Rhinolophus ferrumequinum: one gene and its partner. The main gene of each other region encodes a partner of the protein of the gene in region 2 in a complex. Links are inferred from orthologs where the notes say so. Each region holds a gene or a part of one and is shown on either strand. Other genes may lie near its edges.

Region 1 (7,562 bases), on a different chromosome or scaffold from region 2:
GCACAACCTAGCAGTCACCCATGTGACTCACGGGACAATGGTGACTAATTTTCCGAGGAGGCACAAGCTGAGTTTCCTCTATACTTCCCACTTTTTCACGTGGGTTGTCTTGGGATCACACGAGCTAATTAGAGTTGGGGCAGTCTGGTATACATAAACTACCCCTGACCCCAAGCCTCCATCCTTTTATTTACTAGCTCCATGCTCAAACCAACAGCCTCTTGCATACAAGAAAAGACCATTAAGTGATGTTCAACTGAGCAACCAATACCTTTATAGATACTGATGCAACTGTGTTTCACTGGCCAATGATAACTGAAAATCAGACAAGAGGAAAGGTGGTCCTTGGTAGAACAAAACACTAAGAGGGCTGAATTTAAATACCTATGTTTCAAGTTGGATGAAAAATGGAGGAAGGGCATGTTACCAGGAGAGCTGCTGAGAACAACTCAGCTCTAAAGCAACAGTTTGTAAAAGTCTGGTCATTCGGGGATGAACATGCCAGGCAGTAACCATCACTCGGAGGGAACCAGCACGTCTCCTGTGTGACACACCGAAGGCTTGGTGCCAGCCAGCACGGAGAGCTCTTAGCTTGGCATGTGGGGGTCATGTGTGGCAGCTACCGTGTTTCCCCAAAAATAAGACCTGCTTTTATATTAATTTTTGCTCCAAAAGACGCATTAGGGCTTATGTTCAGCGGATGTTATCCTGAAAAATCATAGTAGGGCTTATTTTCCGGTGAGGTCTTATTTTGTGGGAAACACGGTAGTTCCAGAAACCACAAGGGCTCTGGGCTGAAATAATAATGTTGAAAGAGATACTGGAGCATCAGAAGGGGGAGAAGAGCAATTGTCCAATCTGGAGGGGAAAAGACACAGCAAGAGCAAGGTGATGTTCACAAAGCACATTAAAATATCCATGTTTTGGGCATGTGTGCTTTTGGGGACTTTAAATTTTATTTTTTAAATTATATAGTAAAATTCACTCTGGGGGAGAGAGGAATGTACAGTTCTATGAAAGGACACATGTATACATCCCTGTAACCACGAGCGAGAGGAGGCTATAAAAAAGTTGTCACCCCAAAGATTAATTCTATACATAATTCCCCAAACTTATTTAGCCAATAAAGGGCACAATGAAAAATAAGGGTAGCAACCATAATCACCACTTGTCATCAAAATTAAGTGCCAGAAAAAAATGCTACACCCCAACCTCCCCTACACTAACACTAAATTGCTTTTGCTGGTTGGCTGGAAACCTTCATGTGTTTCTACATTATAAAATTTACATACCCCCAAACTTTTCATCTCTGGTAACAACCACATTCAGTGGCGGGAGTTTTTGAGTGTCAGATTTTAAAGGTTCTGGTTTGATCTGTGAATTTCAGTTCAAGGGCCATGCAGACGGGTTAACCCACCAGCAGGTTCAGGCTGCACTGACCCCACCTTTCTTCTGGAATCCAAGAGGCTCTCCATTCATTTAGCAAATACTTATTGAGCACCTACTAAGTTAGTGACTGGGGATGTAAAGCGGTTAAGACACAAAATCTTGTGCAAAACTCAGTACTGAGAGTGAAGGAGGCAGACAGGGTCCTATATGGTGATACAAAACCATAAACTAGGGACAGTAGGCTAAAAAAATAAACTCGGGGGTGGGGTTAGGGGTGTGGACACCAAAAGAACCTCCTCCATCTCCTCAAGCTTACATACAGAGCTAGCAAGAGCTCACTTCCTTGCCTCAGTTTCCTGCAGCTGTAGTGTTCTGGCACCTTACGTGTTGTGTAGTGACACGTTAAGCATTCAAGTTACTTTAAATAGGTGAAATTGACCATTTACGACTCTCAAGTGCTTAGCCCTATTTTGCGCACTCTTGTCTGGTTAGCGTTGGTGTGTAAAATTCTTCCAGACAAGCCACCTGAGCAATCAAACTCTTACCTCTGAAAAACCACCTTGTGTCTCGGTACACAAGTCCTTACAGGAAGGACTGCACAACTCACCGATAAGGCGAGGGCAAAGTCTGCGTGGGAAATCACGTTTGCAATAGAGAGGGAAAGGCAGGCAGGAGCAACGGCGAGCGCCCCAGGCTCCAGTCCGCGGCCGGACGGGAAGGCCTTGCGCCAGCCGGGGTGCACACCCAAGGCCGGGCCCGCCTCCAGCTCCCGGGCAGCGGGAACCGCGAACCGCGCCGTGGACGGTCGGGACGGAGCGCTGCGCCCCCTGGCGGCGGGGCCCATCTCCGTCCGCTCCCGGCCGCCGCCGCCGCCGCCGCCGCCGCCGCCGCCGCGGGCCGGCCTCGCTCCATTTACAGACTCCCGAAGCAGCGTCCTTCCGAGCGGCGGCTCCTCCGGCCTCCCGCGCCCCGCTCGGCATCTCGCTCCAGTCCCCGCCCCCTGCTCCGCTCTGACACCCCCTTCTACACGCCGAGCCGTCCCCCGCTGCAGCCTGGCCCAGCGCGAGCGCCGAGCCCCCGCGGGCTCCGCAGAGCCTTTCCGGCGGCGCCGGCCGCTCCATCGCGGCGCCCGGCGGGGGTGCTGGGCCGGCGTGCGGCGCGAGTGGGGCGCGCAGCGGCGCCAGCACGGACCGTTCCACTCCGCGTTCCCCCCGCCCCCGCGCGGCGCGCGTGCTCCCGGGGACGCCATGGAGCCGCGGCGTTCCGAGCGGCACAAAGGGGCGCGCGGCACAATGGGCGCGGTGAGCCCGTGGGCGCCGAGCGCCCGCTCCGGCGGCTCGGCCCTGCGTGGGGGTGGGCGCTCCTCCCGGCGGGCGCGCTTAGGGCAGCCCCCCTTTTCGTCCCCTCCCCTGCTCCCGCCCCCACCCCGGCATGGATGTTGCAGCCACTCTCCCGTCCGTCTGCCCTGGAGCCGCCGCCACCGCGCAGCCGGCTTGATCCGCCCCGCACTTACCTGGGACACGAGTTCTGTACTTTGCTGAGCGGGCCCGCGCCGAGTTTGGGCGCCACGTGGGGTGCGGGGGAGCGCAGGGCTGAGGAGTGGGGGCCTCGCGCGGAGGGCCTGGCCGGGGCGGCCCGGGGAGTTGCTGGGGGCGGCGGGCGGGCGCCGTGTATTTTCCCCTCTCTTTGTGTGTGTCCGTGCGCTGCGCTCTCGCGTGACGTGACGGGACTCCGTGTGTCATTTCCGCACAAGGACACAGGAGCCCCCGCTGCAGTGGAACCACAACCCCTCCGCCCCCACCCCCGGCCTGCCCCTCCCCCTCAGCGGGGCACACGCGGGACCGGCGGCGGCGTTCGGGCGTGAACGGCCGCGGCGGGGAGCTGGGGCGCGCACTCCAGGGACCCGAGCGGCCCGGCGCGCTCCGCCGGCGCCGCGCTGCTCCACGTGGGCCCGCGCCGGTTGCCCGGGCGGGGGCAGCGGTCGCGTACCCACGACGCGCTGGGGCAGCGCTGGCTAACAATGTCCTCGGCACTCTGTGTGTTCTCCCCCCGCGAGTCATTTCTCTAAAACGTGGTTGCTCAGACCCGAGGAGTTTGACCTGAAAAGCCTCTTTTTCTACTTTTTTTTTCTCCGCGGGACGGCGACTGTGCGGGGCGTTACCTCCCCTAGAGCCAGCGCCAGTCCCGAATTCTTGGCATTTCCGCGGTGCCCTGGCCCCCCCGGGCGGGTGTTCCCGCGCCGAGCTCGGCACAAAGACATCGGGGCGCAGGGACCCCAGTGGCCCCGGCGGAACCGGCATGGAGTCGCGGGCCGCGGGAGAGCGACCCTGGCGCTGGGAAACGCTGGCTCTGGCCACTCCCCCAGCGGAGTGGCCGCCCTCTGTTGTGAGCCTGAGAGCTAAACATCTGCCTTTTACTTGTAACCCTAAGTTTTAAGGTTTGAGGCTGCAGAGCGAGAGATTCAGAAGTGCGCGCGCTCCCAGACCCACATGCCAGACAAACCCACGGGATATCTGCGCCCAGCGCTTAAAATAGAAAAGCACGCGTCACCATTTCAATAAAGGCTGATTCTTTAAACTCCTAACTCCCGGATGGGAGAGTTCGACTTGATAAATATGCAACCTGCCCCTCGAGTATTTTCACAAGTCTCAGAGACTTGAAGGGGTGTGGTGTGTGAGGGTCAAGGAAGCCCAATTCAACAGTTAAACCACGTTTATACTTTAAGCAAATAACGAGAATAAATTTAAAAAAGAAACTTTAATTTGCCGATCGAAGAAAGTATAAGAAGAAAAATGCAAATGATCCCATCTGCTGCTCACAGCTGACTGGCTGCAAGACACGACCATGTGGCCCAGCCCTGTGTGGTCACTGAATAGGTAGAATAGATTTTAAAATAAGGCTTATGCTGGCTCCTTGCTGCCCAGTCGCGGAGAGGGTTTGATTTAACGTATAGTTTTGGATTACCTTATCCTCCAGAGCACTCCAACTGGGAATTTAGTAATTATTCAAGTTCCTCCCCTTCAGGTTTGAAATCCAAAAGCACTGGGTTATTCAAGACCTTTGAAGAACTACGTGGAACATTCTCGAACTGTATTTGGTAGCCCATTTTGAGAAGTCAGTACTAATGGCTATGCAAAATTAGCAAGCTGCCAGGAGAACGGAGCCCTGCACCGAGGGAGTGGTTTTATAAAAGAATCTATACGTGCTCAGTGTCATTCAAAACAGGATGATGAAAAGAATGGGGCTGAGATAGCAAGCAGCCCTTCAAATTCAAAAGACTTGAGTCCCCTATCTACATTTAAAATAGGGTGGAGGGAGGAAGGGAGGAGGACCGCTTGGGGGTGAATGGTTAATTTATACATTCCCAGAAGACAGAATGGAGGCACTTGGATTTCTGCCGGGAACTTGACTTTTACACTCGCACATTAAATAACACATGATATAGTAGTACATCGCTTGACTTATACAGATACAGCAGTCTCACCTTCAATTTAATATGACAGCCATAATTAGAATTTAAAAAGTATAAGTTGCATTTCATTCGTTCAGTTTTCTAAGGTTTCCCAGTAGGAGAGTTAGGAAGAGTTAAGACGTATTTGAGCTCACTTAGCATTTTTAAAGTGGATGCAAAGTGGTTTAAAAATGTAAAATGACCGTGTTAAATTTTTATAAAAGGAACTAGATGAAATGTGTGTTGTGAAGCATTTATCTTTAGTCAGTCGTTCCAGTGACAACTCAGGTATTTAAGGATAAATTAAATAATAAAAGACAATAGGAATTAAATAATAGAAATTAACATTTCTTTGTTCATACTGTTTGAAACCAAAGATTTTTCTCAAATACAATAATTTTACTAAAAAATAGCATCTAAGGCAAACAAGATGCTTAATTGACATAACTGACTTCAAAACATCTCTCAAGAAATTACAAAGTGACCTTGAGAATTATTGTAAATATGTATCCTAATTTACACAACTGGATCAATCTACTTAACAAAGCAAGCTGTTTATTCCAAATAAATTATTAACAGAAATAGAAATCATTGCTATCTAAGAAAGGAAACTACCTACCTTCAAATGATTTTGTATATTATGAGTTTCTTTTTTTAATGAGCTAAAAAACAGAATGCAACTGAGTAAATTTGAAGAATTGGCTTTATTAAGCAATTCATGAATTGGGCAGGGCCCCCATCTAGCAACTAAAAAGGCGCTCCAGGGGTTGTACAAAACTGGAAGGATTTTATAGGAAGAAGGGTGGGATAAGGAAACTATTAACAAAAGAAAAGAAAGGATTATTTTTTAGGCCAGGACATCTTTGGGGGGAGGGGAATGGGAAAGGTTTTTATCATGCAAATTGCCTCTTACCTTACTGGTGCTTGACCAGAAAATTCCAGACTGGTTGTTTAAGATTATATTTCTGGGAAAGGTTGAAACTGTAAATAGATCAGATATTAAATCTAGGTTTCGTGTCATGGGCTTTTAGCACAAGTGATGCCATTTTAGGCCTGTGGTTTTTGTCTTAACAGGAGGAAGGGAAAATAGTACATGAAGGTGTAACCCCCTGCATTGGAATAGTTGTATTTGCAGTTGTATTTTGGAGTCTTAAAAATGAATAGTTCTGAAAGTGCTATTGGCTAATAGTAATGCCTTATGGAAAAAATATGAATAAACATGGAGTAAGATGAGGAGAGGAATGAGGAAGGGAAAACACAATTTCTGTCCAACCCAATGCTAAAAAGTCAGGAGGAATGATAGACCAGGCTTCGTAAGGATGTGCAGAAAGACCTGAAAAAAACACCAACCTGAGTTTTAGAGGTCTGCTTGATTGGAAATTTCTTAATTAGAAATGCATTTTCCAAGATTTCAAATTAGAGCTGCTGCAACTGATCTAATGAACTCATTTCCAATTTTACCTGAGTAAATGCAGCTTGTTGGTCATATAAAGGAATCCTATAAAACACTAAAAACTCGAATGCAAAAAGAGTGGGATATAATGTAAATATATATCATTAAAAGTGGCAGACAGACATTAGGTTTCAGATTATCTTTTAACTGTTCCTCTAAAGGTTTTATCACTGCTAAAATATATAGTTGCCAAGACAATATTTACTAGGGCTTTTTTTTTCTTCATTAGTTAAGTCTTAAAACAACGCAACAGATTTCACTGTGATTTGTGAGACATTTTCACTTTGTTTCTTGCACGCTGGGTGCATAATTTTGCCAAGTCTTCAACTTCAAACAAAGTTGCTGGCACATCCAGATTCTGTAACTACTCAAAACAGAAGTAAGAGGGGAAAAAAAGGAGGGGCGGAGAGGCATGTATTAACTTTATTAAAACAACTTATAGAAAGACACACCTTGCTAAATAACTTGCAAAACTGACTTTTGGTTGGAAAGTTGGGCTCGGGGAGTTGAGTTTGACCCATTGTGTGCTGTCGGGGGGAAACAACTACCTTCAGTGGAATTCGGAACAGGTAAATGACACAAGGCGAAAAATGAGGTTTAGAATGAAAAGCTGCAGAGAATTTGTGATGGGCAGTTTTTCTTATGTGTAGAAGAACTATTGAATAATTTATAGCAGCTTGAGATGTGATGCACCCAACACAGCCATTAGGATCTGGTTTTAGTGGAGTATCTGGCTTACACAATAGGATTCTGCAAAAAGAAATATCAGGGAGAGAGAAATCTGCTGCAATCCCATTCTCAGTTTCAAGCCCTTGAGAAAACAAATGCCAATCCAAACTATAGTTTGCTCTGAGCCCAGAGTGCTGGCTGGAGGCGCTGTAGCCACCAGGGCCCCCTCGCCCAGAGGGGCGCCCAAGGGCCTGCAGTCAGGAGTCTCCACACTGATCCCACAATTACAGCGACAGGCAGGAAGCAGGGAGCAGGGGGAGGCTGGTTCCCCAGCCAATCAGACCCCATTAAAAAAGAAGAAAAAGGAGACATACTGCTGCACTAATTGGCCGGTTTTTAAAATAATTATTTCATGCTGTGAATCAAAAGACTCTAAATTAAATCATATATATGTGTGTATATATGTGTGTGTGTGTGTGTGTGTGTGTGTGTGTATACACATATATATCTTCTTTGACTTGCCTAAAATCTTTTCTTTAAAATGAAACACCTCATAGAAATACACTGGAGATCCAATGATTCCAGTTCTAGGAATCTATC
Region 2 (7,742 bases):
TGGGTCATAGAGACAAGTAGAGAGAGTGATAGAGATCATGGGTGACAGAGAAAGGGGGGAAGGGGCGACAGAGGTACGAGTACAGAGGCTAACAGAATGACAGAAAGAGGGTGGCTGAGAGAGAATGGATGAGTGTGAACAGGTGGGTGACAAAGAGAAACAATGGCAGAGAGCGAGAGAGAGAACAGGAGTGCCAGAGAGGGAGAACGGGTGACACAAAGGGAGAAATAATGGGTGACAGAACTATTCACCGTCCCACAGAGACGGGGGGGGGGGGGGGGGGGAGGGGTGGGAAGAGTGCCAGAGAAATAAGGGGCAATGGGGCAGGGGGGCAACAGAGAGTGGAAGCACGTGGGGGATACAGAGAGTACAAGTGGGCAGTGAGTATCAGAGTGAGAGGGTGGGCAAGAGAGGAGCTGGTGGGCTGACACAGAGTGTGTGACAGTCATCATATGTGACAGAAAATGAAGGGGTGTGAAAAAGAAAACCCGTGTGCAGAGAAGGTGTGACAGCAAGTTTCAAAGTTTTCTTTCCTCTCTTAGGCGGGAGAGGCAGAGAGACAGGGAAGGAGAAAGACAGAAAGGGGAGGGAGGGAGGGAGAAAGAGAGAAATGGTGTGAGCGTCGGGTTTGTGTCAAGGAGCAGAATTATGAGAAGGGGATTTCGGGGAGGGGGGGTGGAAGAGGGCGGGAGAGACAGAAATAAAAGAGGAATTATGAGAGTTCAGGGGTCATGAGTGAGATGTCACAAGATAGGGAAACTGTGACAGCAAGGTGGGGACTGTGAGAGCAGCAGATGATGGCGAGATGAGGGGTGGTTGCTGAGGGGAGTGGGAGACAGACACTCGGAGAATGTTCCGGAGAGAGCACGTGGGAGCGAGTGAGAGACAGGTGCCAGCGTGAGAGGCAGTATCGGGGAACCAGTGCAAGCTGATAGGCCCCCTTGCAGGCTCACAGAAAGGAGGGAAGGGCTGACTAAAGGCCTTAAGCCTTATTATCACCATTTTCCAGAAGAGGAAATTAAGGTTCAGAAAAAGTCAAGTGACTTGCATGAGGTCTCCCAGCTAGCAGGTGGCAGGGCCGGAATCTGACCCCAAAAAGCCCAGCTCTAAAGCCAGCACTCTACCGCCCCACACTGCCTCCCTGTTTTCCCCAAGCCTTTCTTAAGGTGGTCGTGTAACATAGCCCAGAAATGGGCTTTTACCCCTCTGTAAGGAGACCTTTTGGCTTTTAAAGGCCTTAAAACGTTACTTTTTTTTGGAAAGGGAGACAGAACTACTCACTGCTCCACTTTCTTTGTACTACATCAAAATTTAAAACTTCTGTGCATCAAAGGACACAATCAACAGAGAGGAAAAGGCAACCCACAGAATGGGTGAAAATATCTGCCAATCATACATCAGACAAGGAAGGTGATAATATCCAGAATAAAGAACTACAACTCAACAACAAAAACAAACTACAACTGAAAAATGGGCAAAGGACTTGAATATCCATTTCTCCAAAGAAGATATGCAAATGGCCAAGAAAAAAAGATGCTCAACATCACTGATCATCAGGGAAATGCAAATCAAAACCCCAAAGAGATGCCACCTTACACACATTAGGATGGCTAGTAACAATAACAACAAAATAGAAATAACAAGTGTTGATGAGGACTCGGAGAAATTAGAACCCTGTGCACTGTTGGTGGGATGTGAAATGGTGCAGCTGCTCTAGAAGACAGTATGGAAGTTCCCCAAGAAATTGAAAAATAGAATTACTGTGTAGTCCAGCAATCCCACTTCTGGGCATACACCCAAAAGAACTGAAGCAGGTTCTTGAAGCGCTATCTGCACCCCCATGTTCACAGCAGCCACACTCACAGCAGCCAAGAGCTGGAAGCAACCTGAGTGTCCATCGGTGGATAAGCAAAATGTGGTCTATCCATACAATGGAATATTATTCAGCCTTTAAAAGGAAGGAAATCCTGTCACATGACACAACATGGATGAACCTTGGGGACATAATGCTCACTGAAATAACCTGGTCACAAAACGATGAATACTGTGTGATTCCACTTACATGGGGTCCCTGGAGGAGTCAGATTCACAGAGACAGAGAGGAGAGAGCAGAATGATGGGTGCCAGGGGCTGGGGCGGCGGACAATGAGCAGTTGTCTAACAGATACAGAGTTTTAGCTGTACAAGATACACAGTTCTGGAGATGGATGGAGTTGATGGTTGTATAACACTGTGAATGTATTTAATACCACTTCAGAATGGTTAAGATAGTAAATTGTATGTTGTAGTTTATCACAATTTAAAACATTTCTCAGGGCTGACCGGTGGTTCAGTCGGTTGGAGCGTGCGGGGGCTCTCAACCACAAGGTTGCCGGTTCGACTCCTGCAAGGAATGGTAGGCTGTGCCCCCTGCAACTAACAACAGCAGCTGGACCTGGAGCTGAGCTGCGCCCTCCACAACTAAGACTGAAAGGGCAACAACCTAAGATTGAAAGGACAACTTTACTTGGAAAAAAGTCCTGGAAGTACACACTGTTCCCCAATAAAGTCCTGTTTCTCTTCCCCAATAACATCTTTTTTTAAAAAAAGCATTTCTCAAAGCTCATCCCCACATCACCATGCCCCTCCCCACGCCCCCGCAGCCACCTGGTGAATGCTTACTCATTTTTCAAAACAAATGCCTCTTCCTCCTGTGAGGCCTTCCTTCCCTTAGCCCAGCGACCCTTGTAATTGGCCACTCCCCCTTTTATGCCCACATTATGCCTTCCACGTTATACCTTACAGCACCTATCAAACCTTACAGCTTTACCTACCGCTTTCCACTACCAGCTTATAAGCAATCAGGTGGCAGGACCAATGTTTCACTCATCTCTGTGTGCCCTAGGCCGGCAAAGACTCAACAAAGGCTCGATCAACTGAAGTTCTGGCTCTTAAGGAATTCATAACGGAGAGTTATTTAACAAAAAAACAAAACAAAAAAAAAAAAAAAACAGGGCATCCGCGGGCTCCCCAGGCTTTAGAAATCTGAGCGGATTCCCACGCCCTACTCGGAGAAATCGGGCGCGTTTCACAGGCTGGGCCTCAGCAGTTTCGAGAGCCCTCCTCCCCCACTCCCGGCCAGCGGCCCAGACATACCTCCGATAATGGGCAGCCTGCTCTGGGCTTAAGACCTCGGCTTCCGCAAACCCTCTGGACGCCTCCATGACCCTCAGCTTGGGTTCCAGGTATCTCCGCCCGGGATTGAATTTCGTTCGCTCCCGCCCTGCGCATGCGCCCCAACCGTCGGCCTCTGGCTAGCCAATCCGCTACACCGCGCTCCGGCACCACCGCCTGAGCCCCGCCCACGAAGCTCGTGCGCCTGCGCCTACGCGCGCTGGAGCTAAGAGGCCGTCCGGCCTCCCGGCGGCGTGGGGTGGGCGTGTCACCTCGTCTTGTCTAGCATTTTCAGTCCAATCCAAACGGTGCTGAGGCTCTTCCGTGTGTGTGTGTGTGTGTGTGTGTGTGTGTGTGTCTGTGTGTGTGTGTGTGTGTCTGTGTGTGTGTGTGTGTGTGTGTGTGTGTGTGTGCTGTCCTCGTGAGTAGACTGCGTGATATGAGCTGTCATTTTAGTAGCCACTAGAGACCTCCTCCACAGCGTGCACCCCAAATATCCTACCTTCCCTGCTCGCCCACGCCTGGCATTCAGCATGCTTGGAATTCAAACACCCTGGGAGGCATCGACCCGGTGACTTAAACTCACACTGAAGAAGGGTCTACAGGAACCGAGCCAAAGCTTTCATTTAAGAAATAAGGAGTGCTGTCGTTATGGTCAACGTTTCTTCAGAAGCGCCCATTGAGATGTAGTCATATTTTCAAAGGCAGAGCTCAGGGGGTCTGGGAACGCAGCGATTGAGTTTAATGGCTTGCTTGGGCAACGCAAATAGGAGGTTGTGAGACAAAAATTGTTCTTGTTCATATACCGATAAGAACAAGAACATTATGATTCCTCAAGGCAGTAATTAACACTCAGTATTTGAAAACTCACCAATTGGCCCAGTCATATGGCAACCATATGGCCAGAGGATTTTAAGCTTTTTGTACATTTCATAGACCACTGGGCGTTACAAACGGGATCTCAGAGAAGATGGGCTATTTTCCTGGTTTATATGACTTGAAGTCTAGGCCCTCTCTTAGGAGGGCTTTTAGTATACTATTATCCCCATTTTTCAGAGATGAAAACTGAGGCTCAGAGAGATAAAATGACTTTGCCTAAGATTCCAGAGCTGGAAAATGGCAGAGCAAAGGCCTTGATCACTGGGAAGAAAGGACCAACCATCCCGCTCCCCTGCCCTTAGGCTACTGGATTTTTCTCGGGTGCCATTTTCACACAGCCACAGGACTCCCCCTTCTTTAAACCCATGAAGTCCTCCAGCTCTCCTTCCTTTCCCCTCAGTCCTGCACTCCTTGCTTCCTTTGAGCTCTCCTCAGTGCGTTCTGGAGCCCCCACTCCCACCCCAGGGCACCAGTGACCTGGGAAACTCACCACTCATAGCTCCTAGTCCTCCTTTGTTACTGGTCACACACATTCACAGACTGGAAACAACAGAGAAGTTAGGGAGGATGTATAGTAGGTAAATGGAGAGAATGAAAGAATCAAAATAATAGTTACTACTATATCCCGTTTACGTTGCCAGACTCTGTTCAAAGCACTTTTACTTACGTTAACTGTCTTGGCTGTACCTCATTTCACATCTACCCCGAGGGGAGGGCTCCCATTCCCCCAGCTTCTCTCAAGGGGATGGGGTTTTAAGAGCCTTCCCTAATTATTGTTAATTTTTTAAGTGTGATAATGGTACTGTTGTATTTTTTAAAGTCCTTATCTGCTAGAGATACATAATGGAATATTTTCAGATAAAATGATATGACATCTGGGATTTACATTAAAATACTTCAGTTGGGGAAAAAAACGAGAGGGGCACAGATGAACATAGATTGGCAGAATGTTGATAATTGTTGAAGCTTATTAGAAGAGGTTCATTATCCTCTACTTCTCTGCATGTTTGAAATTTTCCATAATAACAAATTTTTGTTATCTGTTCTGCAAATTACACTGAGTCACCCGCACTCACAAACTGCAAATAAGATAATGAGGTCTTGTGGGAGAGTTCAGAATGGGTAAATGGAGAGATGGATGGGGCACTTGAATGCCAGGCCTTGTTCTACACACTTTATACATACCCTCACGACCTTGTTAGCTAGTGTATATTGCTATTGTCTTCCCTTTATAATAAGGGACCTGAGGCACAGAAATATTGAATAAGTTACACAAATTTGCACAGCTTGTGAGTGGTAAAGCTGGGGTCCGAACCCTGGCAGTGTGGCTTTTGAGGTTTTGCTCTTACATACTCCACTGGTTAGATATAGAAAGCAGCTGATAGATGAAGAGAGGGATCCCTTCATCCATTTACTTATTCATTTATTTAATGAATATGTGTTGAGCCTTTACGAGATGGTCAGGCAAGAATGTGGGTGCTGGGGTACAGTGGTGAACAAAACAGACAGACAGGTCCTTGCTGTCAAGGAGCTTATGGTGGGGGTTGACTTGAAACAATAATCACGTGAGCATGTGGAAAATTACAAACTGTGATGAGGGCGCACAAGGCAAACTCCAGGGAGTCCTGAGAGCAGATGATGAGCGACCTGACCCAGTCTGGCCGGCCTGGGAAAGATTTCTCTGAGGAAGTAGCATTTGAGCTCTTAGTGCTGAAGGATAAGGAAGAGTTAACTAAACCAAAAAGGCAAGGGAAGAGCATTACCTAGGTTCCTTGGCTCCCAGCCCCATGCTCTTTCCAGCACAGACCATGGCTTTCCTACCTAGCAGGAGGAAGGAAGCCAACTGGGTGTCAGAAGAATGCTGCTCTTGGGGACTGACACTGGGAGAGGGTGTTTTTGGAGACAGGTATAAATAACCACATGGAATCTTCATGGGCAAGGAGATCGTCTTTGGGGCAGAAAAGAGAAAGAAGTGATTTGGAAGCAGGAAGAATTTGATTCCTAGATGCCTAATTACGTTTTCTCCCCCTGTTTCTAGCTAGGGTTTTAAAGTGGGTGGGATTTTTTAGAGGGTGGAAAGGGGAGCTGGGGCTGAGGTCTTAATCCCCTGTTTTGGAGAGGGAAGCAAGAGGTAGGCGCTCTGTCCCGCTCGGCGCCCAGCCATAGGTCATCTCCAGCTCTGCCAGCAGGGGGAGCTGGAAACCAAATTTCCTGAGAATGGCAGCGGGCATGCTCCCCCCGCCCCCACCTCCCGAGCTGGACAAATTCTTACTGGAAACTAACAAAGTCGTCCCAGGATGCTGTGGAAATGACAGGAACGGGGGAGGGGGGGTGGGAGAAGGAGCCAAGAGTTAGGATTATCTGCAGGGTCTTTGCACTAAATTGCCAAGTCTTTGATGATTCCCTTCTAAACCTGCAGGCACCAAAGGGTAGGGCATCCTTTGACAGGACAATGCTGCTGCACAAAACATGGCATCCTCCTCTCCCTTCGTGCTACCTCATCCACTCCCAAGACCTCACAGTTCTGTCTCTAGCCTCATCCTCCCTCCTTAGTTTCAGACCTAGATGACCAACTGGATACAGGACATGTCTTCCTAGAAGCTCACTCCACATGGCACTGAATTCATCTCCCACACACCCTTAGAGTTGTTCCCTCAATATTTCCCATCCCCGTGAACAGCACTAGCAATACCCCAGTTGTTCAAGTCAGAAACTGGAGGCATCTTTCCAATCCACCAGAACGTCTTGTTGGCTCTTCCTCCAACATACATACATCCCAAACCCAAACACCTCTTTCCCTCTCCACTGCTACCGGTCTGGTCTATGTCACCCTCATTTCTTGCCTGGCTCACTGCAATGGCCTTCTGACTTTCTTCCTGCTTTTATTTGTGCCTGCTCCTCACTGTCGCTACACCCAGAAACCAGAATGATCTTTCAAAAACATGGATCCTGTCATGGTCCTGCCTAAACACTTCAAAGCCTCCTCCTTTCCCTCAGAATCAAGTGTTGCCTCCTCGCTATGGCTTACACGGCCCTCCTGATCTGGTCCCTGACTGCTTCTTCCACCTTATGTTTCACTTCTTCATGGCCCCTGCGCACGCACATGCGTGCACACACACACGCACACACACCACTCTTCTCTAACTGAGCCACCTTTCTTACTCACATCTTGCCTCTAGGCCCTCTCACATGCTGTTTCCTCTGCATGGACTTTCTTCTGTTGACTCCTTGGTTCTCAGCTCAGGTCTCCCTTGTTCCAGGGACCTTCCATGATCCTTCCCAACAGTGGTCCTCTGTAACACAATGTGACACACGCTGCCTCTATCACTGAACTTAGTCCATGGAATGTGGCTGCCCAGTAATCTCTCTGGCTCCCCCATGATCATGTGAGCGCTGTGAAGGACAGATCTGTCTTTTTCAGTTACAGCTTCACAGAGCTTAGCACAGTCCCTACATAATGTAACTGATAAGGATTTGTTAGATGGATGGATGGATGAATTTGTCAATTTACTAACCCTAAATTGCAGCACTGGGCCCCCGGTGGGAGATATCTCCAAAGCAATAATGGGGACCAGGAGCCAGGGAAGGGGAGAGATCCAAGCATACCTATACCAGCCACTCCTCTTGCCAGCATTGGATGGGCTCCAGCCAGTACATGGTGTTGTTGGATCCTCTGGACACCCTGTACCTACTTGTTCCCCAGGTCAAGG

What was found.
Region 1: the proteins of ERCC6L (region 2) and BEND3 are in contact, whole or in part, in a crystal structure (PDB 5JNO), measured with the Homo sapiens proteins. The link is inferred for Rhinolophus ferrumequinum from reciprocal best matches to the Homo sapiens genes ERCC6L and BEND3. Residues at the interface, in NP_060139.2 of Homo sapiens: Ala10, Glu11, Ala12, Leu13, Ser14, Pro15, Glu16, Ala18, Ala19, Tyr21, Leu22, Arg23, Lys26, Phe51, Pro52, Asn53, Glu54, Lys55; in NP_001073919.1 of Homo sapiens: Glu252, Gln255, Ile256, Gln259, Leu261, Asp265, Arg269, Val272, Gln273, Pro276, Phe279, Ser280, Phe335, Arg338, Phe339, Gln342, Glu346.

What each region holds. Positions count from the first base shown.
Region 1 is NC_046286.1:60,222,682-60,230,243, forward strand, and holds the start of BEND3 (BEN domain-containing protein 3), read right to left. Parts: upstream 3,180-7,562; 5' UTR 2,903-3,179; intron 1-2,902. UniProt on the Homo sapiens protein: Transcriptional repressor which associates with the NoRC (nucleolar remodeling complex) complex and plays a key role in repressing rDNA transcription.
Region 2 is NC_046284.1:1,229,943-1,237,684, reverse strand, and holds the start of ERCC6L (DNA excision repair protein ERCC-6-like), read right to left. Parts: upstream 3,260-7,742; 5' UTR 3,204-3,259; coding exon 3,136-3,203; intron 1-3,135. UniProt on the Homo sapiens protein: DNA helicase that acts as a tension sensor that associates with catenated DNA which is stretched under tension until it is resolved during anaphase. Functions as ATP-dependent DNA translocase. Can promote Holliday junction branch migration (in vitro).